Linked DNA regions of Canis lupus familiaris. The protein of the gene in region 1 purifies or fractionates together with the protein of each later gene. This does not show direct contact. Links are inferred from orthologs where the notes say so. Each region holds a gene or a part of one and is shown on either strand. Other genes may lie near its edges.

Region 1 (4,258 bases):
GCCTTGCTCTAACAAAAAAAGGACTACCTGAGATTGATGTGACCCTCTTGTGAAATATGGCTAATGGCTATAAAGTGTTTGGTCCCGTGTTTCAATCCTTCCTGTACCTGCAAGGGATGGAAAATCCCTAGCACAAAGGTCAAGGAGTGAAAATGGAGCCGTAACTGCTTCACTGCTTCAGCCCATGACACTAAACTGGGTTGTAATGGCCCCTCTGAGTGTTCTCTCCTGTAGGACACAGGTCCTAGGTCCTAAGGCTCCCTCTTACCAACCCAGACCCCATGCTGTACTCCTTAAATGCCTCAACCAAACATGGTGTTTGGCCAACTTTGTAAACTCAAAAAAGTGAACCATCCCACCTTCCCAAATTAGAGACCTGGGGTGGATCAGTGGGAAAGAAAAGCAAAAGGGTCTGAGGAAGAGATGGGAGAGGAAGAGAAACTTACACATTTTTAGCTCTGTCTCCACTTCCTGCTGTCGCCGTTCAATCTTTTCTCGTCTCTGTCAGAAGAAAAGTGGACAACTGAATGCAGATGGAAGTGCCCTGATGTCAGGAAACATGCTAGAAAGTGGCAAAAAAGATGTGGGGCCAAGAGGTGCAAATTATATACCTTCCTCTCCATGCGTTCCTCCCGGGTTTCTGCTCGAGTCGGGGGAGGGGCATCTCGAGGGTCCTAGGAAAAAGAAGAGGTGACAGGTGGGGAGGGACAGGGAGTTGCAAGGGACACCCATCCAGAAAACATTAAGCACCTCAGCCACTCACCTCCCCCTCCCCACCCACCACACACAAGCAAACATGGGACACCTCCCAGACCAATGGACCTGGGAGAATAGCAAAGATCAAAAGCACGATCCATGGACCAATGCTGTCCTCAAACTGTTGCTGGTCTGTGACAAGAGAGGTACAGAAATAAGAACTCAGAAACTTCTATAGCAACCAAATAGAATAGTTTTATACCTACTAAACTTAATAAAAATCTAATTCTTTATTCTAGAATTTTTAAGGATACTAAGAGTCAAAATAACTTTGTATTTATCAACATCATCACTCTGCAAAAGATTAATCCTTTATCACAGGTGGAGATTGGGACCAGGGCTGAAGCCAAAGGAGCTGACAGAACAGTTCAAAAGCAGTAACTGGACACCTTCTGAGGACCAGGACAGTTCTCGAAGGGCTCACCAACCGCTCATTAAACTGTAACTACCCCATGACCTGCATCATCAAGGGTGCCACGGGCCTGTAGCCATTAAATTAGTTTAATTAGCTAATAACATTTCCTAAGGACCGGTTCACCAAGGGTGGCAAATCCTACTAAAGAATCCATCAATCTTCTGTTATCTCTCCACTAACTTCTGCTCTGCAGCTTCCTCCACCTTCAGCTGCCCTTTCTTATTTGACACCAGAACTTTCCCTTCTGACTTCTGGCTGTGTGCCAGCATTTCTCAGGTGTGCTCTGATACACCTCTTTCTTTAGTATATGTGTTGCGGAAGCGATCACTCTGATGCACCTCTGATGCCGTTTTCCCCATTTTACAGATGAAAAGACTGAGGCTCAGAAGCCATAGTCACATATTTGTGTTTACCCTGCAATTGCAGAGCTGAAATCTTCAAGCCCATACAAACACCATCCCATTAATAACAAAACCGGTAAACATGGTAACATTGACAATTGCGGACTACTTGGTGCCAAGCCCTGTGCCGAGTTTCGCAGTTAATTCCCTGCCAATGTTATGAGGAAAATACTATTAATCCCTTGCAAAGATGAAGAAATCCACCAAGAGCATACAACACTTGCCCAAAGTCACACAGCTGATAAATGGTTTGTGCCAAGGACTGCCTGACTCCAGAGCCTGAATCCTCAACAGCTAGTTACTCAGTTTCCACAAAAACCCTAGGAAGAATGCATTACCAACCCCATTTAAAACAGAGGATCAAAAAAGTCCCCTAACTAAATTGCACAGCTAGAAAAAGTCTAGAAATTGGACTCCCAAATCCAGCTCCCCGGCCCCCAGAACCCAAACCACAAGTCTGCTCAGTGAACTCACCTCAAATTCTCGGATGTAGGGTGCAATGCCACAGTAAGGTTGATTGTGGTGTTTTTCATGTGGCAGTTTCTCCAAGGGTGGCAGGTATGGGATAGGATCACGGGGAGCAAAGAGGGCCAGAAGGTTGGGCGGCAGGAACTGGGTCATCTTGCCAAGTCTGAGAGCAGAAGCAGGGCAGCCTTATGTTAGGGTGACTGGGTAGAGATGAGGCCTCTATAATCCCTTGACTCCCAAGAAAGAGAAAGAGGAGCAAGATCTCAGCATGCAAATAGATTCTGTAAGAGCCTGGTTGGATTATAATGAAAACAAAGACGGAAAAAGTTCCTGATTAGTTAAGTCTCAAAGTCCCGAGCAAGAAGACCGGGGGCGGGGGGGGGGGGCGGGTGCTCAGAGGTTCCTTGGGAGCCTGCGGGGAACTTGATTCTTACGAGAGAGGTCCAAAGCAATGGCGGCTGGGGGTCTCGCACCCCTGAAAAACAGGTTACGGGGGCGGGAGTAGCAGGAAGTCTCCAATCAAGGGAAGAGGCTCAAAAGCAACAAGCCCCTCGAGCCAGGGGCTTGTGGGTAATAGATCCAGGCCCCCCACCGGCGAAAAGAATTGTGGGTAAGGGTCCAGGCCAGAGCCGAGGCGAGGAGAAAAAGGCAACACGCCGCGAAGGCCTGTGGGAAAGGGACCGCGGGAGAGCTGCGGGAAGAGGGCCTAGATTCCCAGAGGACTCTGGGTAAGGGTGCAGAGAGGTGCGGTGGCGCGGGAAGGGGGCCCGGCCGCGGGGAAAAAACTGGGGCCCGCCGCAGGGGATTATGGGTAGCGGCTCCGCACCCGGTAAGGCCAGTCAGTCACACTTACCCGCCGCGCGGCGCCCTCCTCGGCCTGGCGACGGTCCGGGGGCTCGCGGCGGCTGCGGCGGCCCCTCAGCAGCAGAGGCTCCTGCTCTGACTTCGACTCTGGCGGCGTCTGCGTCCGTCTACCTCCGTCGCCCGCCCAGCGCGCGGACCAGACCGCTGCTCACGAGCCCGCGCGGCCTCGGCTCGCGACAGGGGCAAGGGGTGGGACCAGCCCCAAATCCCTCCGCCAGCCGCGCTGCGCACGCGCCGCGCGATTAAGCCCAACCCATACACAGGGACCTGGCGCCGACGCGGGCACTGCGCACGCGCCAGGTCATTTCCCCGCCCCCGGGCACCTTAAACTCCTTTACTGCAGCCGCTGCAGGCCGCAGTGCGCACGCGGGTACCGCACCAAGCAGTAACCCTTTCCACCTTGCGCTTCTGAGTCCAACTGCCTCTAAGCGCGAGACTCCTCGATGCTCCGCCCCAACACACTTCCCGGGTCTTGTACGCATGCGTGTGATGTCGTGTACGATAAAATACCCCTCCGCCGCCTGGCAAAGAGTCCCTACGTGAGTGGTGTCATTACGTTGACGTCTAACCTGTTAAATCAGTGACTGTTCATCCAGCGGCTAATGTGTGCTAGACGCTGTTTGAGCTCTGAAGATCTAGTACCTGAGGAAGGCAAAGTCTTTTTCTTCTTGCAGCTTACATTGTATGGGAGGAGATGATAAAGGCATTTTAAAAGAATATATTTTGGGGGATCCCTGGGTGGCTCGGCGGTTTGGCTCCTGCCTTTGGCCCAGGGCGCGATCCTGGAGTCCCGGAATCGAGTCCCGTGTCAGGCTCCCGGCATGGAGCCTGCTTCTCCTTATTCCTGTGTCTCTGCCTCTCTCTATTAATTAATTAATTAATTAATTAATAATTAATTTTGGGGACTCTTGGGCGGCTCAGCGGTTGAGCGTCTGCCTTCGGCTCAGGGATCTAGTCCCACATCGGGCTCCCAGCAAGGAGACTGCTTCTCCCTCTGCCTGTGTCTCTGCCTCTCTCTGTGTGTCTCTCATGAATAAATCAATAAAATATTTTTAACAATAAATTTTGGACAATGGCCAGCAAAGTTGAGAATAGGGCAGGGGCACCTGGTTGACTGAGCACATAACTCGAGTTTAAGCCCCAGGTGGGGGTGGAGCCTACTTGAGAAAAACAGGACATAATAAAGGGCTTGGGCAGTGAAAGTGGGGTTATTTAGAGAATAAAGAAGAGTTGAAATCGGATCCCACCGAAAGCTGATCTCTGTGGAAGGGAGATGTGGGCGAAGTTAACAGCAAGTGCAAAGGCCCTGGTTTAGGACGGGTGGCAGGAATCCCACGTTGCTGGCCATGAGATC
Region 2 (3,968 bases), about 5.8 Mb from region 1:
TCATCTCTGCTGCTGGGGACTGGGCCAGCTTTCTCTAAGGCTTCCTTCAGGAGCTGGCTCTTCTCCAGGCCAAAGACATGAGGGGGAGCCAGCCCCCTGACAGGGGGTGGAGGTGGCAGAGGAGGGGGTGGGATAGGGGCCTGGAGACTTGCCGGGGGTGGAGGAGGAAGTGGAGTGATGGGGGCTTCGGGAACAGGGGTCTGAGGAGCGGCTGGGGGCTCTTCAGGAGGAGGGCACGGAGAAATCATTTTGGGGGTCTACAGCATGCAAGTGCTGGGAGGTCAAGAATGGGAGACGGTTGGAGCCTCTAAAATAGGTTTGTCGCTGGGATGGACGTTCTGAGGGTTTTAGAGCGAAGTTCCAGAACTTGACTGCTGAGCGGTGGGACTCAAAAGAACCAGGACTGACATTTGGACTCAAATCATCAGGGGATCTAAGAAGTTAACAGGGCGGGTCCTTTATCCGCAACTAGATCTTGGTGTGGGGTTGGGCTGCAAGGCTCAAGGTGGGGGGGGAGGGTAGTTAAGAGTTACTGTATTATCCGGAACGAGGTTTGGAAACTCGCGAGTCAGTTTTGGGAAAAGGAAGGCCCCGCTCGGGTGGGATTCGGGGGCCGGGGCTACAGACTAGGGAATTTAGGCTCTGAAACCCCTCACATCCCGGGCCCCAGTTCGGAACCTTGGAGCTGACCTTTGAATCAGCGCTCAAGAGATCAAAAAACACCCGGCAAGGAGAATGACTTAGTCGTGGAGAAGGTGCTGGAATCAGCGCAAAAGGAAAAGTCCTCTGGGTTGGGGAAGGCACAGAGACGGGAGGGCGCTGGCAGCCGCGACACCGCTGGGAGCCGCAGGCGAGCCGGAAGATAAAGCCCGCCTCCCCTTCCACCAAAATGGCGGCCGCAGCACACATTTTTCCCGTATCACGTGGCGGGGCCCGCGGCTCGTGCCCTTGGAGGGTCACGTGACGAGAGAAGGCGGGGCGGGAGAGGAGAGGCTTTCAAAGGACTGCCCCCGGAAGAGACTGAAGCGCGAGCGGCTTCCCCATTGGCAGGAAGCGCGTGAGGGGGCGCGGCCTTCGCTGATTGGTCCGTAGACCCTCGGTGCAGCGTCGGGCGGGGCTTTCCTACCGAGGCGGGAACCCAAATGTCGTTTTGATTGGCAACCTTTGGACCCAGGGGCGAGGCTGGCTCTGATTGGTCAGGCTACTGAGTTTCCGCGCGGGATTGGCCTGCAGAAAGCTAAAGGCGGGACCAAGAGAGGAAGCTTTTGTAGTCGGCTCTCAGAAGCGCAGGAGGCGACGCTTGCGGGAACTGCGACTCTGTTGGTGAGTAGTCCTCGGGCGCACGCGGCCGTGGACGCCGGGCGGGCGGAGCGCTTGCCGCCTGGGCTTTCTCGTGCCTCGTGTGGGGAAATTCACTTGCCGCTGCGCGAAGTTAGGGCGCCAGAGCCGTCTCCTGAACTGGCTCATGTATCCGGGTTTTTTCTCCTGGGCCGCCCTTTGAGCTCGTGAACCAATGAGAGTCTCCGCTTAGGACGCTCCGCCTACTGGACCCCGTAGAGCATCCTGGGACTCGTAGTAAGCCTCTCGAGATTTCCTTCTGGTAACCACGCGGGGAGCAGCAGCGGTGTCCTGCTTTCGCTTTGTTTCCTAGCTGTACTTCCTTCCCTGCTCTCCGGACTTCCTCCTGGAAGGAAGATCCCCATCCCCGAGCAGCTCGTTAAGCCTGCTTTAGGGCAGAGGATTTGGAGAAACCCGGGGCTGAAGTTAACCTTTTCCCCCTTCTTTCAGCATTACCTCGGCACCTCTCTCCATGGCAGTTCCCGAGACCCGCCCCAACCACACTATTTATATCAACAACCTCAACGAGAAGATCAAGAAGGATGGTGAGTTGGGATAGTCCAGACTCCAGGTTGCCTCGCACGAGCCGGCCCCCTCTTCCAGCCCTCGAATTAACTTCTCTTCCTTTTCTCCAAACTGTCGAGTTAATCCTGAATTCAGCCTTTGCACACGCTGCTTCCTGTGTCTTTAACGCTCTTCCAGCCCGTCTTCTACTCTGGCCATTAGCCTGGTCGCTTTTGTTCATCCTTCAGGGTTTCAACTCACAGGACTCCTCCAAGAATCCTTCGCCGGCCTCTTTCCCCCCAGGTGCCTTGCCCCTGACTTCCCATAGGCCCTGGATATCTCCCGCTCAAACCCTCAATTGTTTTTGGGCTGTTGTGGGGCTGTCTGCACAAGTCTGTGAGCTCCACGACGGTAAGCGCCTGGACGGCCTTGTGTTCTTAATGATCAGCGCACAGTGGAGGTGTTTCATTTCAAAAAAAAAGAAATGATAATACGATGGCTAACACTGTCCTTAGGCACTGATACATACGACTTTATTACATTGAATTCTCGACAATTCTTCAGTAAGGAGCTATTACTCCCTATTTCTCAGGCGGGGGTGATGTGAGTTGCCCAAAAGTCACACAGCAAGGTAAAGTGGTTGAGGCCACCAGCGTGGAAATACTGCTTAAGAACTCGATTCTTAACGTTCATTGGACATATTTTTTCGTTTCATTTATCATCTCATTGAATTTCATTTTTTATATTTGAAAGTTGAACAAATCCCCGGTATTTCTGTGCGTGAATGCTTTGTGGATTAAATTAGCTGAATATCTGTCTGTTAGTTAAGTTTGGATAAAATTTGTCTTTTTTTGTCACCTTAAGAAAATTCTCAGGAGAACCAAAGGAAGGAGTTTGCTGGGATTAATTTTGAGGTTACCAATAAAGTTAACTGTTGAGGAAAATGGACCAAGCTATGTAAATCCCCATGTGCTCTTAGAGTATCATGTGCAGCCAGTACCATGTGGTGCTGGAGAAACACTGGTGACGGACAGTCCTGGTCCTGCCTTCATGGAGCCACAGTCCAGTGGGGGAGACTGACCTTCCAGTGATTGCCCAGAGTAGCCAGGGCCATGATGGGGAAAGCACAAGCAGAGTGGTCAGGAGGGATTTGGCACCTAGACAGAGGAGTTTGGACTCTTTCATAGAAAAGGAGACATTTAGGGGCACCTGGGTGGCTCAGGTTGTGTTCCTGGGGTCCTGGGATCGAGTTCCATATCAGGCTTCCCACAGGGAGCCTGCTTCTCCCTCTGCCTATGTCTGCGCCTCTCTCTCTCTCTCTCTCTCTCTCTCTTTTTTTTTATGTCTGCCTCTCTTTGTCTCTCATGGATGAATAAAAAAATCTTTACAAAAAAAAAAAAAAAGGAAAAGGAGACATTTCAGAAAGCGTTTCCAGATAGAGGAAGGAGTATATATATTGTGCAGAAGAAGAGTGTTCCGAACCCAGATCTATGTGTCCAGGTGCCTAGGGGCAAAAGAGAGCCTGGGGCATTCTGGAAAATACAAGTAGTTTTGTGTGACTGAGGCTTGTGACACAGGCAGCACCTTCTAGTGAGCAGTGCACTGATGGTTCATGGGATCCTGTGGGCAGGTAGGCCATTAGACTTTGTCATGAGGCCATCAAGGAGCCAGGTAAGGGACCCTCTGGTGTGAGGACAACATCAGGAGGGTGAACTTGAGTGGGCAAGAGGGGAGGAGGGAGAGAGGCCCAGGGGAATGTCGAGGGCCAAACAGATCATGTGGGTGGAGGAGGGAGAGAAATACCAGAAATGGAATCAGGAGGGTGCCTGACTGGTTCAGGTGGTCGAACATACCTTTCGGTATGTCCTGGGATCCAGCCCTTATCAAGACTCCCTGCTCAGTGGAGAGCCTGCTTCTCCCTGTTTCCCTCATCCTGCTCATGTGCATGTGTACTTCTTTTCTCCTCTCCTCTCCTCTCCTCTCCTCTCCTCTCCTCTCCTCTCCTCTCCTCTCCTCTCCTCTCCTCTCCTCTCCTCTCCTTCTTTCTTTCTTTTCTTTCAAGATTTTATTTATTCATGAGAGAGAGAGGAGCAGAGACATAGGCAGAGGGAGAAGCAGGCTCCTCA
Region 3 (4,242 bases), on another chromosome or scaffold:
CAGGAGGTTCTGGGGAAGGCTAGTTGCCAGGAGCCTTTGGGGTCCAGATCCCAAGAGTCTTTGGATGAGGGGCAGTGAGGGAAGAGGGAAGGGCATTAGGAAACACAAGCTATCCTTGAAGTGCCAGGTGTCTAAGGGGCCCTGGAAGAAATGGAAAGAGTTATGGATGGAAGCGCCTGTCGTCTTGAGTGCTGTTATCCAGGCTAGGCTTCCTGCTGCTGCTGCTGACTGTTCATTTTGGACCCTCGAAGGCTCAGCACTGGTCCCATGGCTGGTACCCTGGAGGAAAGGGAGCTTCCAGCTCAGCCCAGCCACCCCCACCTGCCCCCAAGGTGGGTTAAAGGTATCCCCCGCCTGAGTGGGAGGAAGAAGGTATTAGCTGGGGCTCCTTCACCTACTGTGAGCCTAGGGTAGGAGCAGTGGGCAGGCCACAGCCTTGGCTCGTTTCTGAGGAAGGGTCCTGGGCACTGCAGCAAACGGCCCAGACCAGACCGCCCATAACCTCCCAAGCAATTCCCTGGCTCCCCCTGAGAACAGTGTGCCCTGGGAGGGCAGAACTACAGGCTGGTGGCCCCTCTGTAGAAAGCAGCACCTGGTGCAAACACTGCTAGTAAGTACAGGGAGAGGCCTGGCATTGGCCAGCAGGGGCCATTGTGGCTAAGGACTTGGGGGATATGTGGACAAAAGAGGGGAGTAATGAGCTAAAACTGAGACGACCCCTGGGCACACAGCAGGATGCTATCTGCTATCCTTCCTATTTCCCAGAATTCTAGACAATTTATGATAAGATACTTATGTTAAATTAAAAGAAGTAACTAGTGGAGTGGAGAGAATTCTACTGAAAACCTCCATAAGACAGTGGCTGTACTAGGGTCCTCCAGGCTTCTTTCTTGTCAAGAGAAGCCCATATGTCCGGAGGTGAGCAGCCCCTCAGTGAAAAGAGGTGAGGGGTGTGAACTTACACTATTAGGTAAGGGGGTCCCAAGAACCAAGGCTGACGCACTAGAAATGCAGTGATTGCAGAAGACCAGTGTGCAGCGATGGATTATTATTACTATTTTGCATTTATTTTAAAGTGCACGGGAAAGCCATAACTGAAGGAGAAAAAGTAAATTCGTATTAGGCAAAAACATTACGTAATTTAAGTTGGTGTGAGCTCAGGTTTTTACAAACCAGGTTTGTTTGGGGTGGGCAACGCCCAGGGAGCTCCAGAGCCCCCACGCTGGGTTCCCTAGCCGGCAAGGGGGTCCTCAGGACGAGAGAGCAAGCTGGCCGCCTGGCGGACCAGGTCGGGAGAGGTGAGGGCGGGCAAGGTCGCAGGCGAGCAGCCTGGTGACCAGGGCGTCCTCTGAAATGATCACCTCCTCCCCCCACAGACTGGACCTAGAGCACCGCGCCCTGTCGCCTTCCAATAAAGATACGAAGCCCCTGAAGCTGCTGCTTCGAGCTCTCTCCTCTGTCCCGTCCCTCGCCCACCCGCTCTGAGACTCTCCAGCGCGGGGGTTGGGGGACGTGGGCCCCGCCCGCCGGCGGGAGGGACGCGGGGCGGGGCGGGGCAGGCCCTGCAGGGAGGGTGCGGCCAAGGCCCGGGCCCGAGGACCCCGCGGAGGTGTGCCTGCGCGCGCCGCCCCGCCCTACGGGCTCCCGGGGGTGGGGGCGGGGCCCGCGGACTACGCGTCCCGTGGTGCCCCGCGGTCGTCTCCGGGCCCCGTGATGCCCTGCGGCGCGCCGGAACCGGGAAGGCTGCGGCCATGCTTTGCGCGCTGAGAGTTTGGGGCGCGGGTCCCCGGTGGGGGCCTCCGGCCCCGCTGCTGCTCCTCGTGCGCGGCCGCAAGACCCGCCACGACCTTCCGGCCAAGTCCAAGGTCGGGCGCGTGGCGACCCCGCCCACGGTGGATCCCGTAGAGTTCTTCGTGCTGACGGAGCGTTACCGGCAGTACCGCCAGACGGTGCGCGCCCTCAGGTGTGTGTGACGGCGGGGGCGGCCGCCGGCGCCGTGGGCTGTGAGGCGGAGGGCGGGCGGAGAGGGTGCCGACCGCGGGCCTGTCTCCGCCCAGGCTGGAGTTCGTGACTGAGGTGCGGAAGAAGGCGCACGAGGCCCGGGCCGGGGTCTTGGCAGAGCGCAAGGCGCTGCAGGATGCCACCGAGCACCGCGACCTGATGGCCTGGAACCAGGCGGAGAACCAGCGGCTCCACGAGCTGCGGTGAGTGGGCCGGGAGGCGGGGCAGGCCGCTGGTGGCGCGGGGCAGACCCAGCCGCGCGCAGTCTCAGCCTCTTGCCCTCGCCCCCACCCCAGGTTAGCTAGGCTGCGGCAGGAGGCGCGGGAGCAGCAGCAGCGGCAGGCGGAGGAAGAAGCCCGGCGGGCCCGAGAGGCCCAGGCCTGGGCGCAGCTCAAGGAGCAGGAAGTGCTGCAGCTGCAGGTGGGTCGCGTCTCCGGGCCTGGAGCTAAGGGCCGGGAACAACTCCTGGGCGGCAGTCCTGGGCGCGGCGCAGTGGGACACTGGCCAGCGCACTGAGGGAGCGAGCAGCCTTGAGGCTCAGTTAGCAGGTGAGGATTTGGGGGAGGAGTGCAAAGAGAGTGACGGGCGCAGACACCCAGAGGTGAGAGTTGACATTAGAATTGTAAAGTATCCGAGTAGCTAGGTGGCGGTAAGCCCGCCTCTTACCCCGGAAGGGCCCCCAGTTCCACAAGGAGTTGGTATTTTGTTTTGCGGGTATAGTCATTGAAGTGTTAATATTTTGGGCTAGGGTGGCAGGTGTGAGACTAAAAAGCAGGGAGACCATTTGGGAGTGATCCATTAAGAGTGGATGAGGTCTGAATTAAAGTAATGGGGGGGTGCGGAGAACAAGTTTGACAGAGATTAACGAGGGACATTGAGGCAACATTCAACCCAGTGGGACTCGAGATTGTCACAACTGGTGTGCTTGGAGTTCTGGCTGAGATGTCCAGTGGATAATTATCTAAGAGGAATATGATAAGGCTGCCTGATACTCTTCCACTGGAAGGTCACAGAGGACCTGGGCTCCAAGCATCCATCCAGAGGGAGAACTGGAGACTCAGTGGGCTAAAGGTCAGCAGGCCTGTGCTGGAGACTTCCATTCAGTAGCTTTCTGTCTCCCAATAGGAGGAAGCAAAAAATTTCATTACCCGAGAGAACCTGGAGGCACGGGTGGAAGAAGCATTGGACTCGCCGCCGAAGAGCTACAATTGGGCCATCACCAGGGAAGGGCTGGTGGTCAGACCACAGCATAAGGGCTCGTAAGGGTCCAGTAAGGACAGTGCCCACCCAGGGACCATGTGTGTATGGGGTAGGAGGGTTGGGCCTGATCTGGAATAGATCTGTTGATGTTGCTTAGGAAGAAGGAGGCTCAGCCTATTCCAGTGTCCTCCTCACATTCTGCCCTGCACCCACCACCTGGTTGGCAGTTCCCATACATACTGTCCTGTTCTACACCCATGTACGACTCAGCAAAGCAGCAGACCTTAGAGGTTTCCAGCTCACAGTGGCTCACAGTGGCGCAGAATGGACCACAGTCCCCTCGATCAACTCGGTCTAAGTGTCATCAAGGACATGGACAGAGGTTGGCAAATTACAGTCCTTTGGCCCAGTTTGTCCTACTGCCTGTTTTTGTAAATAAATTTTATTGGAACACAGCTACATTCATTCATTGACTACTTTCACACTATAATGGCAGAAATGAGCTGTGTAACAGACTATTTGACTTGCAAAGTGTAAAAAATATTTGTTACATGGGTTTTTGTTTTTTTTTTTTTTTTAAGATTTTATTTATTTATTCATGAGAAACAGAAAGAGAGAGGCAGAGACACAGGGAGAGGGAGAAGCAGACTTCATGCGGGGAGCCCAATGTGGAACTCGATACTGGGACTCCAGGATCACACCCTGGGCTGAAGGCAGACGCTCAACTACTGAGCCACCCAGGTGTCCCATGTTACATGGGTTTTTAGAGAAGTTTGCCAACTCCTGATCTAGAGCTTTAGGACTCTAGCCAGAGTATCCAGGTAACAAAAGGGCAGCAGAGACACAAGCTAACCACTGGCCAAAGACCCGCTTCTGCTTGATCCTAAGATTTGCCAGCTGAGGTCTGGTGTGCCCAAGGCACAGAAGTAAGGAAGAAACCCCATTTCTTTATCAGTGGCCCTTTCTACCCAAGGCTTCCATGACCCACATGGCCCTGGCACTACCAGCTTCCTTGGACTACACACCATATTGGTACTGGCA
Region 4 (3,814 bases), on another chromosome or scaffold:
CAGGGCAGCCTAGCAGCCCAGAGCCATCTACAAAGCAGCCTAGCAGTCCTCATGAAAAAGATAAAGAGAAGGAGGTATGTTTCTGAGTTAATGGATGTTTATTGGGTTGCAGGGTTAGGATGGATGTTTAAAGAGAAGGAAAGAAGTGAATTTGGTTCTTTTTGATCAAGTTCTCTTTTGTATTTACAAATTCTTCAGAATTCTGGTTTTCAGACTGCTGGCTATTGATAGGTTTTATGTCATTGTCCTTTAATGTGTTTATATACAGTCTGGGTAAAAGTTTATTTTTTCTAAATTATGTTTAGCTTTACTATCTGTGATATCTAGGCTTTTTTATTTCCTTAAATGCTCGTTTCCAACCCACTGGGTTGCTGCCTGCAATTTGAACACGCTACTATACCTGTGCTTTAAGTATGTGTCGTTTTATGGGTATTCTGATTGAGCCTTATTCACAATGTTTTCTTACTTCATAAATTCCATAAATAGTTTTTTGCTAAATTCTTAGCTCTTTGTTCTTTTTTTCACGTCATCAAGTTTTCTAACTACAGGATGGATCACTTCAAAAACTTAATGTTTTTTTTTATATTTAAAGCTCTTATAACTATACCAACTGTAGTCTTATTTACATAAGTCATGTCCTCGAACCTTTGCCTTTGTTTTTTATTTCAGTATTCTTTTTCAAGGGTGAAGTTAGATGCCTCCCACTTTAAGGGAAATTGCTTTGCTTCTCAATTTAATAAAAGTGCCTTTTTTTTATGTTGCCATGGCACTTTGTTACGGTTGTTAGAAAATGTCATATGTTAGTTTACATTGTGTTTTTTCTAGATAATAAGACTTTTAAAGTGATAGCCTGTCCATATTTTCATGTTTTCCCCACTGTCTTTTTATACGGTCTTTCGTTAATGAATGACTGCCTGTGGTGAGAAAAGGACCAGTTGGTGTGATGGGGTGTGTGAGAGGAAAATTTCATTGGAAAGGGTGTTTGGGGTCTTTTAGGTAATAGGAAGTTCTGGTGCTTATGTTCCTATCCATACTTTCTTTTCCACTCTTAGAAATCTGGAATTCGACCTAGCCCCTCTCCGGAAAGGAGCAGCACAGGCCCAGAACCACCTGCTCCCACTCCGCTCCTTGCTGAGCAACATGGCGGCTCCCCACAACCCCTTGCAACAGCCACCTTAAGTCAGGAGCCAGTGAACCCCCCATCTGAGGGTTCCCCAACCAGGGGCCGTTCACTACCTAAGTCTCCTGAGAAACCTCCCCAGTCTTCTTCAGAGAGCTGCCCACCATCCCCTCAACCTACCAAAGTTTCTCGACATGCCAGCTCTTCCCCTGAAAGTCCTAAACCTGCACCGGCTCCTGGGTCCCGCCGAGAGATTTCTTCTTCTCCCGCATCCAAGAGTCGCTCACATGGCCGGGGAAAGCGGGATAAGTCACATTCTCATACCCCTTCTCGAAGAGTGGGGAGGTCCCGTAGCCCTACTGCTACCAAGAGGGGGCGATCTCGGTCTCGAACCCCTACCAAAAGGGGTCATTCTCGGTCCCGGTCCCCTCAGTGGCGTAGGTCCCGGTCTGCACAGAGGTGGGGACGTTCCAGAAGTCCCCAGCGACGTGGCCGCTCTAGGTCTCCTCAGAGACCAGGCTGGTCTAGAAGCAGAAATACCCAGAGAAGAGGCAGGTCTAGATCAGCAAGGCGAGGCAGGTCACACTCTAGATCCCCAGCCACTAGGGGCAGATCACGTTCTAGAACACCAGCCCGTCGGGCCAGGTCTCGCTCTAGAACACCTGCCAGGCGGAGGTCACGATCCAGGACACCTGCCAGACGTAGGTCACGCTCTAGAACACCAGCCCGGCGGGGCAGGTCTCGCTCTAGAACACCTGCTAGGCGCAGATCTAGGACCCGGTCGCCAGTACGACGGAGGTCTCGTAGCAGATCACCAGCCAGGAGAAGTGGCAGGTCACGCTCTAGAACCCCAGCCAGACGGGGTCGGTCACGCTCTAGAACCCCAGCCAGAAGAGGGAGATCTCGGTCTAGAACACCTGCAAGACGAGGACGATCTCGGTCTAGGACACCAGCAAGACGAGGACGATCTCGGTCTAGGACACCTGCAAGACGAAGATCTCGTAGTAGAAGTGTAGTTAGACGAGGAAGATCTCACTCTAGAACACCACAAAGAAGAGGCAGATCTGGTTCATCATCAGAACGGAAGAACAAATCCAGGACGTCACAGAGAAGGAGCAGGTCCAACTCAAGCCCAGAAATGAAAAAGTCTCGCATTTCTTCAAGGCGGAGTAGGTCTCTTTCTTCACCACGGTCCAAAGCAAAATCTCGCTTGTCTTTGAGGCGAAGCCTTTCAGGATCATCTCCATGTCCTAAACAAAAGTCTAGGACACCACCAAGGCGCAGTCGCTCTGGATCATCCCAACCAAAAGCTAAGTCCAGAACACCACCGAGGCGAAGTCGGTCTGGTTCTTCACCTCCTTCTAATCAGAAATCTAAGACACCATCAAGACAGAGTTGTTCCAGTTCATCTCCTCAACCTAAAGTGAAGTCTGGAACACCACCAAGGCAAGGGTCTGTAACAAGTCCCCAGGCAAATGAACAATCTGCAACACCACAAATACAGAGCCGTTCAGAATCATCACCTGACCCTGAGCTGAAATCTGCAACCCCTTCAAGACATAGCTGCTCCGGGTCCTCTCCTCCTAGAGTAAAATCTAGCACACCTCCGAGACGGAGCCGATCTGGGTCATCCTCTCCACAACCCAAAGTCAAGGCAATAACATCACCAGTCCAAAGCCATTCTGGCTCTTCTTCTCCTAGTCCTAGTAGGGTGACATCTAAAACACCGCCAAGGCAAAGCAGATCAGAGTCTCCTTGCTCCAAGATGGAATCTAGATTGTTGCAAAGACAGAGCCGTTCTAGGTCCTCCTCACCAGATACCAAAGTGAAACCTGGAACACCACCAAGACAAAGTCACTCAGGGTCTACTTCGCCATGCCCTAAAGTAAAGCCCCAAACTCCATCAGGGCACAGTCTTAGTGAATCAAAATCACCATGTTCCCAAGAGAAGTCTAAAGACTCACCAGCACAAAGTTCAGGATTCTTCTCTCTCTGTCCAGGAATAAAGTCTAGCACACCACCAGGAGAGCTGTATTTTGCAGCCTCCTCTTTGCAACAGAAAGGACAATCTCAAACTTCACCAGATCCTAGATCTGATACTTCAAGCCCAGAAATGAAACAGAGTCATTCTGAGTCTCCATCTCTGCAGAGCAAATCTCAGACACCTCTTATGGGTGGCCGGTCCAGGTCCTCCTCTCCAATCACTGAGCTGGCACCCAAATCTCCAGCAAGACCAGAAAGAAGGGAATTGTCAAGTCCTAGGCTAAAATCTGGACTGTCTCCTGAGCAAAGCAAGTCCCAATCTGACTCTTCCCCATATCCTGCAATGGACTCTAAATCTTTTCTGGGGCAGAGTAGATTGGAGCCTTCTGAATTGAAAGAGAAATCAGTCTTACTCCTTCAGGAGGATTTTACTGCATCGTCTCCCATACCAAGAGACAAATTGAGTCCTCTTCCAGTGCAGGATAAGCCTGATTCCTCACCAGTACTCAGAGAAACACCTAAAACCCCGTCAAGGGAAAGAGGTGGTGTTGGATCATCTCCAGATACGAAAGACCAAAGTGCGTTAGCTAAGCCAAACCAAGATGAGGAATTAATGGAAGTGGTAGAGAAATCTGAAGAATCCTCAAACCAGGTTCTCTCCCATTTGTCTCCGGAACTTAAAGAAGTGGCTGGAAGTAACTTTGAATCATC
Region 5 (3,814 bases), on another chromosome or scaffold:
TTAAATTTTCAATAGTGCTGCACAGTTGGTGAGCTATCCAGGGAAGAACAAGATCCCCTTGAACTACCACATAGTTGAGGTATGTGTTCCACATGGAGCATGTTTCTAAGTTTCAGAATCTTTCTATGGATTTGAAAGTTAATAACTCTTGGCTTTTTTTTTTCCCCTTGCAACTTGTCAGGTACTGAAAATTAACACAGGAGCAAGAAAATTGCTGTCAATTTTGTGCTCTCTTAGCCATGTTAGTAAAAACAAAAGTGGAGGTTGAGGCCAGTAGCCAAATGGAATTTTGCAGTGCCTCTAAATTATTTATATAGCATGTCTTCATTCATGGATAGTATAAGTTACCTCCAGTCTTGTGAGTACACTGTCCACTTATCAGATAGATAATTGGCTTGAATACTTTAAAATACCATATTACATAGGCAGATAACTGTGTTTATCTGGCCTCTTATTACCAGCATACCCCTGACTAGTATATTATTATTCCCTGTATCACACGGTAGGGAGAGATAGGAGTCTTTATTTATTCCTAGAAATTAGAAGAGCCCATTGTTTTTGAAAGTAGGAAGAATCAATAATACTTTCGACCCCATATCAAGTCATGCGGAGGGGTGAACACCTTGTAGAGGTTTAAGTCTCAAAATAGCATTCACTTATTATTACAGATTCACTTACTGTTCATACATGTATTTGTGTGCTTCCCCAAAAGTACTGCATTTGTCCTATCTTATAAAACTTTAAGAGTGTATTTAGGCTATGAACTTGACTCATTGACACGTCAGTTGAAATGCAAAATATAGGTCATAATTTCGAATCTGGAAAGTGTAAAATTTTATCAGAAGGGAATACAGAGGGATGGGAGATGGGAATGAGAAGAAAGAATGCAGACCAGGTTTTAGAATTCTAGGTAGGTGGTTCATGAATTATATAGGGAGGGCAGAAACAAGTTTCTGAACAACAGCGGTGGCAAAGTAATCTTTTTCTACCAAAGAGATTGCCAGGCACTGGTTTTTAAGTAGCAGCCTGGAATGACTTGACTATCTTCTGTTCCTGTCTTCAGAATCTAATGAGGGTTTTTACTGCTTCTAGGAGTGAAACTGATGGATCAGTGAGTACCTGCCTGAATCAACTCTGATACTTCCAGAGTAGGAATTTAATTGCACTATTCTCTGGGAGTATCAAATAAGCATTAATTTCTGCATATTCTTATTTGATTGAGTTATAGAACGATGAAATTTTCATTACAGTATTCAATTGCAAATCTCCATGTCTTAAAGAGTATAGTTTCTAAAGATTATAAAGTAATTATTTTTTCATTATGAATGCCATGGAGTTAAAGAGTTTACGTTTAAAATGTTGATCTTTCTGATGGAAGTACAAAGATACTTGTTGAACAGCATTCTGACTCATGGTTCTTTTATAGGTGATTTTTGCAGAGCTGTTTCAGCTTCCAGCACCCCCGCACATTGATGTGATGTACACAACACTGCTTATCGAGCTGTGCAAACTCCAGCCTGGCTCTCTACCCCAAGTTGTATCCTTTCCTTTGTTTTTAAACTTACTCTCTTTGACCTGGCTTTAAAAGATTATTAAATGTTTCTTACTGTGGGGGCCATTTCTTCAAAAGTTAAACATAAGTATACCACACAGTCCAGCCACTCCACTCCTAGGTATTTACCTAACAGAAATGAAAACACATATCCCTACAAAGACTTGGACATTAAGTTCATAGAATCTTTATTTGTGGGACACCTGGGTGGCTCAGTCAGTTAAGCGTCTGCCTTTGGCTCAGGTCATGATCCCGGAGTCCAGCGATCAAGCCCCCCGTAAGGCTCCCTGCTCTGCTTCTCTCTCTCCCTCTTCCACTCCCCCCTGTTCCTACTCTCTGTCTCTCTCTCACTCTCTCTCAAGATCTTTTAAAAAAGAAAAAACTTTATTTGTAATACCCCAGAATGAGGCAATCCAAATATCCATCAGTACATGAATGAATATACAAATTTGCCATATCTATACAATGGAAAACTACTCAGCAATAAAAAGGAACAAATTTTTGGTGCAGGCAACAACTTGAATGAATTGCAAATTAAGTAGGATGAATAAAAGTTGTCAAACAAGAATTTATACTACATGATTCCATTTACACAAAATTATAGAAAATGCAAAGTAATCCAGTGACACCAGACCAATATTTGCTTGTTGGGGGAGGAGGAAAGAGGATTACAGAAGAGCATGGGGAAAGTTTGGAGGCGATATAAATATTCACTGTTTAGTTCAGGGTTGTATACAAGTCAGATTTATTGTATATGACTGATAACTGCAGCTGTTTTTAAAAAAATCAATTACATGAAAAGATGCTCAGCATTGTTAGTCATCATGACTTCTAAGAAATGTTATGTTCTGTCACAACTTATTTTGAGGGAGGATTCAGAGTAGTTTTCCTTATCCTCAAATTCACAGCTTGCACAGGCAACTGAAATGTTATATATGCGTTTGGACACGATGAACACTACATGTGTAGACAGGTATAGTAATTGTCTTATTTCTATACTGATTGCAAGAAGCATCTATTCCCTGTACTGTATAAAAGAATTTAATCAGCAAAATATTTGCCTTTTTAGAGAATTTCTAAGTTGATTTTTCTTTCTTGTCTCCCCAAAATAACCCTTTGTATAATAATAAAATTTATAATGTAACATCATGCTTTCTACTAACTTCCAATAGGAAATGATGGCCATACTGAGGTTTTCTTTAATTTCATTCATTATTAAATTTTTTTTTTTTGTGCTTTGGTATAATTATACTTTTTCCTTTGTAATTCGGTATGTAAGATTTTAAAATAAACTTTGTACTCACCCCTGTGCACAAGCAGAACCTAATATTGTGTATTTATTATGTATAAATATATATGTATTTTTGTTTGTTTATAGATAGTATCTTTTTCTTAAATAATTAGCTTCTACATAACTACAGCTTGAAGACTCAGTTTATACAAAAGACCATTTTGGATTTTTAGAGGTGTGGTAATTGCATGTCCACTGTCTTTTGACGGAGACCCGTCTACCACTTTTATCAGCTGGTATCTTTCTTACCTCTGTTAGTGTCCACAGTCAGATCGACCCAGGTACTGAACACTTCTCCAGTTTCCATGATCTTTCGTGTCCATTGTTCAGATTGCATATCTGAAAATTATCATTAAGCACTGTATCAGACCTGAGTCAGTGATTGAAATTATAGATCTATGAGGGACATGCTCTAAGATAGCATCTTCTGATTTTTCTCCCAATCTCATAAAACTAGGAGTTGCACAACCCAATTATGTTATTGAAATTCAGCAAATATATATTGGGCTCTCGCAGATTTTACAACATTACACAGTATGCTCAGGTGATTTCTATCTAGTTAGATCAGATGTATTTTTAGGGGAAAAGATGTATATTTTGTGGTGAAAAGGGCATAGTGTGGTGATGAGACACTACACTTTGCCTCTGCCATTTATACAATTATCTGCAGTTCCTTTAATCTTTTTTTTTTTTTTTTGCCTGTTTTATTGTCCACGAAATGGGGAAAATAGTACATTACTTGAAAGTTATTGTGAGAATTCGGCTACAGACACACACACGTGTGTGTGTATATAGTGCGTGGCACAAAAAAGGCACTCTATCATTTCTGTTATTCACTTAAAAAGAATAATACTATTAGAAGGAGCGAGTAGGAGACCATTATTTTTAGGAGAAGATGAATTACAGGATTTGCAGCAAGAGGGTAAATGGCAGCAGAAGATACAGCTTTGGTAAGGGGATGGCCTTTTTAT
Region 6 (3,814 bases), on another chromosome or scaffold:
AAAACAGACCAAAGTATATTAAAATCAAATACAAAAGACTTAATGGAAAATCGTGTCTCTAGAAGATAAAGAATACACTTTAAAACAGTATCTCTGAGGGGAAATAATGAAAACAAATCAATTGTAACATCTTTAATGAAAATCTGACACTTCATAAGAGAAATGGTATTTCATTCCCAAACTGTACATAATAAAAATTTATAAAATCAGCTCCTATAATTATAAGAAGAGAGTATGACTAAGTTATCTTTAAACTCTCCATAAAGAATCTAAGTAAATAGCTGTTTCAAATCCTTTTTGGAACGGAGAGGAATATAAATACATACATAAAATATAAAAGAATATTTAAACTAGCCTGTAATGGTTTCAAATAATTCCAAAGCACTACGTATTTTTCAAAAACTTTATTAGAATCTATCCCCTACAGAATCTTCTATTAAGCTACAACAGATCATAATGTGATCCTTATTTTGGTTTCCATAAATACAGTAAACCCCTTGATCCCATCTTCCCCTATTTTCCCTCCGAAAAAAGAACACTGTTCAAGTACAGAATTCAGAGTGTAATTCTTAACCCCAGTCCAATGATTAAATGTGCTTGCCACAAGAGGCCCTCAACAGATGTCAGTTTCCCGTCACACTTACTAAAATGAATAACTCAGATCCTCAGAAATCACAGGCAAACTGTTTAAATATAAATCTAAATAAATCCTCTTTCCTTTCTCTATTTTCTCAAAATCTTTTAATAAACATATATTACTTCTCAACAAGGAAAATGGAAAGAATAAGACAGAAGAAAAGCACAAGAAAAGACAGAAAAAGGTATCTTATGGATTTCCTCCCAAGTATGCAATAGCAGATTCCAACAACGGGTCTGTCTGTTCCTCAAGGCTAAGCACTACAGAAAAAAAGACTAATGGCTAATGACCACTCTGCTTCCAACCATGGCACCCACTGTATTTCCTCATACCATGGAAGAAATGATTTCTATTCACAATCATAGCTGTTTGCTCTGTCAAAGCAGAAATAATCAAATGCATATGGAGAAGAGGCAGGAGAGACTTTCTACAGGAAAACGTTTCTCTATTTCCTTATCCAAAAGAATAGTGGGAAATCAAGTAAAAGGAATAAATTCAGTAAATGGTATTTCCTTTCTTTGACTAGGTGAAAGAAACATTTTGAATATGTGCTTGCTTTCTCATATTAATCTAAATGAGGTTTAAGTTTTGTTTTTTTTTTAAGATTTTATTTATTTATTGAGACACAGAGAGAGAGAGAGAGAGAAAGCAAGAGAGAGAGAGGCAGAGACACAGGCAGAGGGAGAAGCAGGCTCCACGCAGGGAGCCCGACGTAGGACTCAATCCCGGGTCTCCAGGATCACACCCTGGGCTGCAGGCACCGTTAAACTGCTGCGCCACGGGACTGCCCCAGGTTGAAGTATTAAAGGTATTCAATTCTACTCAGAAATAGCAGTTGAACACAGGAAGTGGCAATTGTAGCAACTGTCCATCAGGCATATACCCATAAAACAAAAACACCTTGCCACCTAAGCTAGTGTTCACCTGAAGAAGCTCTATCAAGAAAGGGGAAAGGGGCATGGTCAAGTATGTCGTCCTCCTAACACGTCATATGACCAGCTATCTCCTAATTACAAATTCATTTGTTTATAAATATCAGCCTCAGAAAATAAGCTACTGTTCATCTATGATACACAGTACTGAACCAATACTTTAATCAAGACCAAAATATTTCTGTTTAATCATACCTTTTTCAGCTCTTCTTTGGAGAATTTTTCATAAGGGTTGTGTTCCAGATAGGCAATGTGTTCTGAATTATTAGTACCAAATCCTACAGTTTTCCCTTTTTTATTTCCAGATGGTTCATAAGGATGATGTAGAAGGTCATAATGAAGCATTGTAATCATTTCTTTTTTGATTAGTTCTTCACTTTTTTGTAAATCTGTTAGAGGTGGTTCTACATTTAGGGGTCTTAGAATCGTTTCATTTACCTAAAATTTTAAAACAAGTACCATTAACAAACAGATCACTGCAATACTGATGCTATTACTTACTTGCCCTAGCATGAATTAAATAGCAGTTTTACATTTTAAAAAAAAATTTTTTTCCTTCTAAAGTCTTATTTGTACCAGTGAAACATTTTAAAGATTAGATCTGCAACTGCTTTACTACATTCCAGAAAGTAGATAAAATTTTGTTTTACAGACTTTATGAATGACATAAAAACAGCAATCACAAAGAAGAAACTTAAAACTTCCAAAGCCAGAAGTTCTAACACTTACTTCTGATGGTCTTGGCAGATCTTTCTGGACAGCTTTGTGCATTCGTTTCATTTCCTTTACACGTTCTGCCTCTCGTATAGCCTTAAAAAATTATTTTTATATCCATTATTACAGATATGCAATATTTGCCGCATTTCAATAAAGTTGAAAACTTTAGTCTATAACAACATGCATGCTCAAGAGCTAAAGCTGTAGAAATCTGTGTAAGTTTGTAGAAAGACAATAAAGCAACAGAAATCAGTCTATTCACTCTCTCATTACAATACAAACTAAGAATTGCCAACAGCTACTAAAGCATTCTCCAAGTTTACATGGCTTCATCCATCAGATAATCATTTTTTTCTGTTTAAACTGGAATCCTAATAAAAATCCTCGAAAAGAACACAAGCAGTAATGTCCCTGACATCAGCTGTAGCAACATTTTTCTAGGTAAGTCTGAGGCAAGGGAAATAAAAACAAAAATAAACTATGGGAATTAACATCAAAGTTAAAAGCTTTTGCACACTGAAGGAAATGATCAACAAAACTAAAAGGCAACCTACTGTATGGGAAAAGATATCTGCAAGTGACATATCTGATAAAATATATAAAGAACTCAACACCAAAAAACAAATGATCCAATTAAAAAATGGAAAGAAAGAAAAATGGGCAGAAGATGTTAACAGACAAAATTCTCCATGATGACATTCAGATGGCTAACGGACACATAAAAAGAAGCACAACATCGCTCATCATCAGGGCAATGCAAATCAAAACTACAATGAGATAAGGGCACCTGGATGGCTCAGTTGGTAGGGCATCTGACTCTTGATCTCAAGGCTGGTGGCTCAAGCTCCACATTAGGAGTGGAGCTTAGTCAAAAAAAAAAATTGTTTTAAGACCTATAATGAGATATCACCTCACACCTGTCAGAATGATTAAACTCAAAAACACAAGAAACCAGTGTTGGTGAAGGTGTGGAGAAAAAGGAGCCCTTCTGAACTGTTAGTAAGAATGCAAACTGGTACAGCCACTGTGGAAAACAGTATGAATAGAACTGCCCTACAATCCAGCAATCACACTACTAGACATTTACACAAAAAAAATACAAATATAACTCAAAGGACACATGCACGCTTATGTTTAGAGCAGCATTATTTAAAATAGCCAAATTATGAAAGCAGCCCAAGTGTCCATGGATAGATGAATGAATAAAGATGTGGCATATGTATGTTTCTGTGTATATATGTATGTATGTGTGCATATGGATAAAGAAGATGCAATACACACACACACACACACACACACACTCTACAGTGGAATATTATTCAGTCTTTAGCCATAAAAAGGAATGAAATCTTGCCATTTGCAACAGACATGGATGGAGCTAGTGCGTAACGCTAAGTAAAATAAGTCACAGAAAGACAAATGCCATATGATTTCACTCATATGTAGAATTTAAGAAAAACAAAACAAACCAGCAAGGAAAAAAGAAAAAAAGGAAAGGGAGAGAGAAAAGAGAGAAACCAAGAAACAG
Region 7 (3,814 bases), on another chromosome or scaffold:
ATTCCTTTTTTCAGATTAAAAAACTGAGGCCAAAAGCACATAACCAGGCTGTAAGAAACTGGGCCTGACTCCTGAGTCTGGGTCTCTACGGCCTAAGTTACATTGCATTGTTTAGGAAAAAATGCTACTGCCATGGGGATGGTTAGTGACAAGTTGGTCATTTTATAAAGGTAACCAGGAAATAGGACATTGTAAGGACTGTTCTTGTGACAGTTGTCAACATTGATACTCTCTATCTCAGAGTTAATTTCTTAGGTATTTTACTTTAGTTTTCATACGCAAATAAAGGTAATGAAGGTGAAACTTTTCTAAGAGTTTGACCAATAAAATTGTTAATATACTTTGCATTCATACAGTTTCTTTTATTGTGTTTGATGATGTTTATCTATCCGAAGTTCTTTCTTGCTTGATTTCTGTACTTGAAACACGGGGTCCAAAACAAATGATTTTAAAGTTAATTTTAAAACATGTAAAAGAGTTGCGTTATCACATCATAGTTTGCATGGTGTCCTTTCACTTTTGTTGAGACAAAATCAATACAGTGTGTAAGATCATATATTGCTGTTTTAATCAACCTTGCACTGACAGGTAACAATGTTACCGTGATCACAGGAAGTCAGATCTGAGGCGCTTTTGGTCTAAGTGAATAGGTTACTCTTGTAAAATGGATCCCTGGAGTTCCCCTCTCGGGGGATCTCAAGCCGGCAGAGTGTCCACAAGGGATCGCTGCAGAAGGCTTCCTTAAGGCCCCCTGGGGGCTGTGTGTTTGCCCACAGGGCCCGCGACTACTCTGCACCAGTCAACTTCATCAGCGCCGGTCTCAAGAAAGGGGCAGCAGAGGAGGCTGAGCTGGAAGATTCGGAAGATGAAGAGAAGCCTGTTAAACAGGATGACTTTCCTAAGGACTTCGGACCCAAGAAGTTAAAGACGGTAGCATCTTTGGCTCAGGCTTGTGACCTTTGAAATGTCTGTGGGAGGTCGTGGCAGTTCAGGCATCTCCTACAGGAAGAGGGGGGCGCTTGGTAGAAGCTGGTTATGTGGGTTTCTCCTCGTGGTAGTGGGTCCCTTCGGGGGGGCCATGCAACCTCTTTGCTGACACGTCGTGCAGCTCTGCTTTTGGTTCGTATGACCCTTTTCATGATGCTCTGCCAGGTCTTTTTCCCATCATCCAAGTTTGCTTTCTTAGGTTTTTCTTTTTCCATCAACTAAGCTTTGGGTTTTTTTCTGCTCAGGGTGGCAATTTTAAACCCAGCCAGAAAGGCTTTGCAGGAGGAACCAAGTCTTTCATGGATTTTGGCAGCTGGGAAAGACACACAAAAGGCATTGGACAGAAGCTTCTTCAGAAGATGGGCTACGTCCCTGGAAGGGGCCTGGGGAAGAACGCACAAGGTAGGGCACCAGCACCCTGCAGCCGAGCAGGAGGTTGGCAAGGCAGAGGAAGGAGGAACGGTCTGGGGAGTGGTTTGCTTTTTCTCTTTTTTGGAGGATGTGAACTCTGCAGCCTGGTTTGCCAGCACCAGACGGTTGTTCTCAGCTACCTGCTTTGTCACACTCAAAACACTTCCTCTGCAGAAAAAAAAGGCTTAGGCTTTTTTAGGAAAAGGCTCAAACAGGCTACAAACAAACAGGCTGCTTTCTTTGGCCTGTCCAGTGTTTCTTAAGAAATGAGCTTGTTGGGGATCCCTTGGGTGGCTCAGTGGTTTAGCGCCTGCCTTTGGCCCAGGGCGTGATCCTGGAGTCCCGGGATCGAGTCCCACGTCCGGCTTCCTGCATGGAGCCTGCTTCTCCCTCTGCCTTTGTCTCTGCCTCTTTCTCTGTCTCTCATGAGTAAATAATATCTTAAAAAAAAAAAAAAAAAAAAAAAAAGGAAAGAAAGAAATGAACTTGTTGCCAGTATTTTAAATAATTTTACATAAAGTTTTTGATTTGCCTGGCAGCAGTTGGTTTTAGCTGCCGAGGACGGTGCTCACGGCCTCTGGAAAGCAGCTTCCAGCATTCCCTGTTGGCTTTTGTCCTGGCACGCTTCACTTTACGGCAGTTTTCCTGGGCCCTGGAGGCAGAGGAGTCTAACCTTCCCTGCTCACAGTTATTTGTCCTTCAGGAGTAACAATGAAATGCTGTGTGTAGCCTGTTCAGCAGTAGAGACTGTAAACCTGGCTGAGCAGATCCCGCACTGGGGCCTCTGTTGGTGCTCAGCGGCCCAGCCTCCTGTCCCAGGCACTGTCCACACAGCTCTACTCACAAATCCCTGTTTCCTTGATACCAAAGCTACACAGACCATGCACTTGGGTTCTTCCTGCAGGACCTTGCTTTCTCTCTCCTTGATCTGTTTCCTGTGAGCAGTCACCAAGTGGATGTAAACAGTAGTAGTGTCAATAATCCAGATTCCACTCCCTGAGTATTTGCTCAGGTTACACCTGGGGTATGTGTTGAACATATCAGTTGTAGGGAAAGTCCAAGAACCTCTGTGGAGTCTGGAGGTGGTGACCTGGAATGAGCACGAGTGGACCGTCCTAATTCAAGATTGCCAAAGTACTAGCTGTAGGGGTGGGTAGGCAGTCTTTGTTGAAATGCTAATGTCTTGTCTCTAAACTCTTGGAACAAAAGTTATTTCCAAGGTTTATACTCACTACGAAGCAAGTGAAGTCTGGGAGACAGGAGCTACCAAGTGATACGAGGTCTCATACTGAATTGCCACTTTACCTCCCTTTATTCTGTGAGAGTCTGTAAATCACTTGTCTTTTTTTGTTTTTTGTTTTTTTAAAGATTTTATTTATTCATGAGAGACACAGGGCGAAGGAGAGGCAGAGACACACAGGCAGAGGGAGAAGCAGGCTCCATGCAGGGAGCCCAATGTGGGACTCCAAGAAGAATCCAAGTGTAAATGAAAACCTGTACTTAGACTATAAATAACCTAATGTCAGCAACCTGTCGTGTGGCCCATAAATGCTCAGAACTTTCACATCACATGGAAGCTGAAGTGTTGCAGGGGCAGAGGAGAGCTTGCCTTCCTGGGTTGTCACTCTGTGTCAGGACTAAGGAAGGGCAGTTCCACTGTGTGGCTTGTCCAAATGCAGGAATCGCTGTGACCTGAAGTTGTTTTCTCTTCTGCTGAACTTTATCAGGTATCATTAACCCGATCGAAGCGAAGCAGAGAAAGGGGAAAGGTGCCGTGGGAGCTTATGGCTCAGAACGCACCACTCAGTCCCTACAAGACTTCCCCGTGGTCGACTCAGAAGAAGAAGCAGAAGAGGTAACTGGGAATCAGGAGTCAGGGTGGCTGGGGCCTGAGCCACTTCAGACCGTGGCTGCTTAGTTCGTGTATCTGTTTGTCCGTCTGCCAGCCTTCAGGTGTTCATTGTACACCTCTGTGTCAGCCACTATGCTGGAGCGGGGCTGCCCTGTGAGGAAGGGTTGGGAGCCCGGGCCCCAAGCCAGGCAGTTGACAAGCAGCTGCAGGGTGGTAGTGAGCGCAGGGAGCGCTGAGACGTGCCAGCGAAGGAAGTAAGGGGGCAGTGGTAGTGAGGTACATAAATCAATAGAATGGCCAGGGAAGGCCCCTCGGGCCGGGAACCATCGGGGGATTTGTGGCAGAAGGCAGGAGGCATGGGGCAGTCTTGAGGCCAGAGGATGCTAAGTATGAAGCTTCGAGCCCAGAGAAGCTGTAGAGGATTCTGTGGCGGGACGGCTTCCATCTCTGTGTGGCAGGAGCCAACAGTGAGCTGAGTGTTGCTCTGCTCAGTGGCAGAAGGGGCCGCGCCCTCCTGACCACCATACTTTTTTCTCGTTTGCATTTATGAGGGAAAGCAGGAGG

The links.
Region 2: the proteins of SNRNP70 (region 1) and SNRPA purify together in Homo sapiens (affinity purification with mass spectrometry; 4 studies listed by BioGRID and IntAct, counting the BioPlex papers as one, with this or other methods). This does not show direct contact. The link is inferred for Canis lupus familiaris from reciprocal best matches to the Homo sapiens genes SNRNP70 and SNRPA.
Region 3: the proteins of SNRNP70 (region 1) and MRPS26 purify together in Homo sapiens (affinity purification with mass spectrometry; 3 studies listed by BioGRID and IntAct, counting the BioPlex papers as one, with this or other methods). This does not show direct contact. The link is inferred for Canis lupus familiaris from reciprocal best matches to the Homo sapiens genes SNRNP70 and MRPS26.
Region 4: the proteins of SNRNP70 (region 1) and SRRM2 purify together in Homo sapiens (affinity purification with mass spectrometry; 3 studies listed by BioGRID and IntAct, counting the BioPlex papers as one, with this or other methods). This does not show direct contact. The link is inferred for Canis lupus familiaris from reciprocal best matches to the Homo sapiens genes SNRNP70 and SRRM2.
Region 5: the proteins of SNRNP70 (region 1) and NCBP1 purify together in Homo sapiens (affinity purification with mass spectrometry; 3 studies listed by BioGRID and IntAct, counting the BioPlex papers as one, with this or other methods). This does not show direct contact. The link is inferred for Canis lupus familiaris from reciprocal best matches to the Homo sapiens genes SNRNP70 and NCBP1.
Region 6: the proteins of SNRNP70 (region 1) and CDC5L purify together in Homo sapiens (affinity purification with mass spectrometry; 3 studies listed by BioGRID and IntAct, counting the BioPlex papers as one, with this or other methods). This does not show direct contact. The link is inferred for Canis lupus familiaris from reciprocal best matches to the Homo sapiens genes SNRNP70 and CDC5L.
Region 7: the proteins of SNRNP70 (region 1) and TFIP11 fractionate together in Homo sapiens (co-fractionation; 3 studies listed by BioGRID, with this or other methods). This does not show direct contact. The link is inferred for Canis lupus familiaris from reciprocal best matches to the Homo sapiens genes SNRNP70 and TFIP11.

Annotation. Positions count from the first base shown.
Region 1 is NC_049222.1:108,027,754-108,032,011, forward strand, and holds the start of SNRNP70 (U1 small nuclear ribonucleoprotein 70 kDa), read right to left. Parts: upstream 3,098-4,258; 5' UTR 2,894-3,097; intron 2,738-2,893; exon of another isoform or gene 2,475-2,737; intron 2,204-2,474; 5' UTR 2,194-2,203; coding exon 2,047-2,193; intron 866-2,046; exon of another isoform or gene 823-865; intron 675-822; coding exon 612-674; intron 502-611; coding exon 447-501; intron 1-446. UniProt on the Homo sapiens protein: Component of the spliceosomal U1 snRNP, which is essential for recognition of the pre-mRNA 5' splice-site and the subsequent assembly of the spliceosome. SNRNP70 binds to the loop I region of U1-snRNA.
Region 2 is NC_049222.1:113,812,185-113,816,152, reverse strand, and holds the start of SNRPA (U1 small nuclear ribonucleoprotein A), read left to right. Parts: upstream 1-1,168; 5' UTR 1,169-1,323; intron 1,324-1,788; 5' UTR 1,789-1,810; coding exon 1,811-1,883; intron 1,884-3,968. UniProt on the Homo sapiens protein: Component of the spliceosomal U1 snRNP, which is essential for recognition of the pre-mRNA 5' splice-site and the subsequent assembly of the spliceosome. U1 snRNP is the first snRNP to interact with pre-mRNA.
Region 3 is NC_049245.1:18,666,947-18,671,188, reverse strand, and holds MRPS26 (28S ribosomal protein S26, mitochondrial), read left to right. Parts: upstream 1-1,660; 5' UTR 1,661-1,751; coding exon 1,752-1,963; intron 1,964-2,057; coding exon 2,058-2,204; intron 2,205-2,297; coding exon 2,298-2,421; intron 2,422-3,126; coding exon 3,127-3,264; 3' UTR 3,265-3,656; downstream 3,657-4,242.
Region 4 is NC_049227.1:38,744,247-38,748,060, forward strand, and holds part of SRRM2 (serine/arginine repetitive matrix protein 2), read left to right. Parts: coding exon 1-74; intron 75-1,052; coding exon 1,053-3,814. UniProt on the Homo sapiens protein: Required for pre-mRNA splicing as component of the spliceosome. As a component of the minor spliceosome, involved in the splicing of U12-type introns in pre-mRNAs.
Region 5 is NC_049232.1:55,290,675-55,294,488, forward strand, and holds part of NCBP1 (nuclear cap-binding protein subunit 1), read left to right. Parts: intron 1-15; coding exon 16-79; intron 80-1,426; coding exon 1,427-1,537; intron 1,538-2,460; coding exon 2,461-2,525; intron 2,526-3,814. UniProt on the Homo sapiens protein: Component of the cap-binding complex (CBC), which binds cotranscriptionally to the 5'-cap of pre-mRNAs and is involved in various processes such as pre-mRNA splicing, translation regulation, nonsense-mediated mRNA decay, RNA-mediated gene silencing (RNAi) by microRNAs (miRNAs) and mRNA export.
Region 6 is NC_049233.1:12,997,416-13,001,229, reverse strand, and holds part of CDC5L (cell division cycle 5-like protein), read right to left. Parts: intron 2,380-3,814; coding exon 2,299-2,379; intron 2,008-2,298; coding exon 1,765-2,007; intron 1-1,764.
Region 7 is NC_049247.1:20,591,519-20,595,332, reverse strand, and holds part of TFIP11 (tuftelin-interacting protein 11), read left to right. Parts: intron 1-776; coding exon 777-930; intron 931-1,232; coding exon 1,233-1,389; intron 1,390-3,125; coding exon 3,126-3,253; intron 3,254-3,814. UniProt on the Homo sapiens protein: Involved in pre-mRNA splicing, specifically in spliceosome disassembly during late-stage splicing events. Intron turnover seems to proceed through reactions in two lariat-intron associated complexes termed Intron Large (IL) and Intron Small (IS).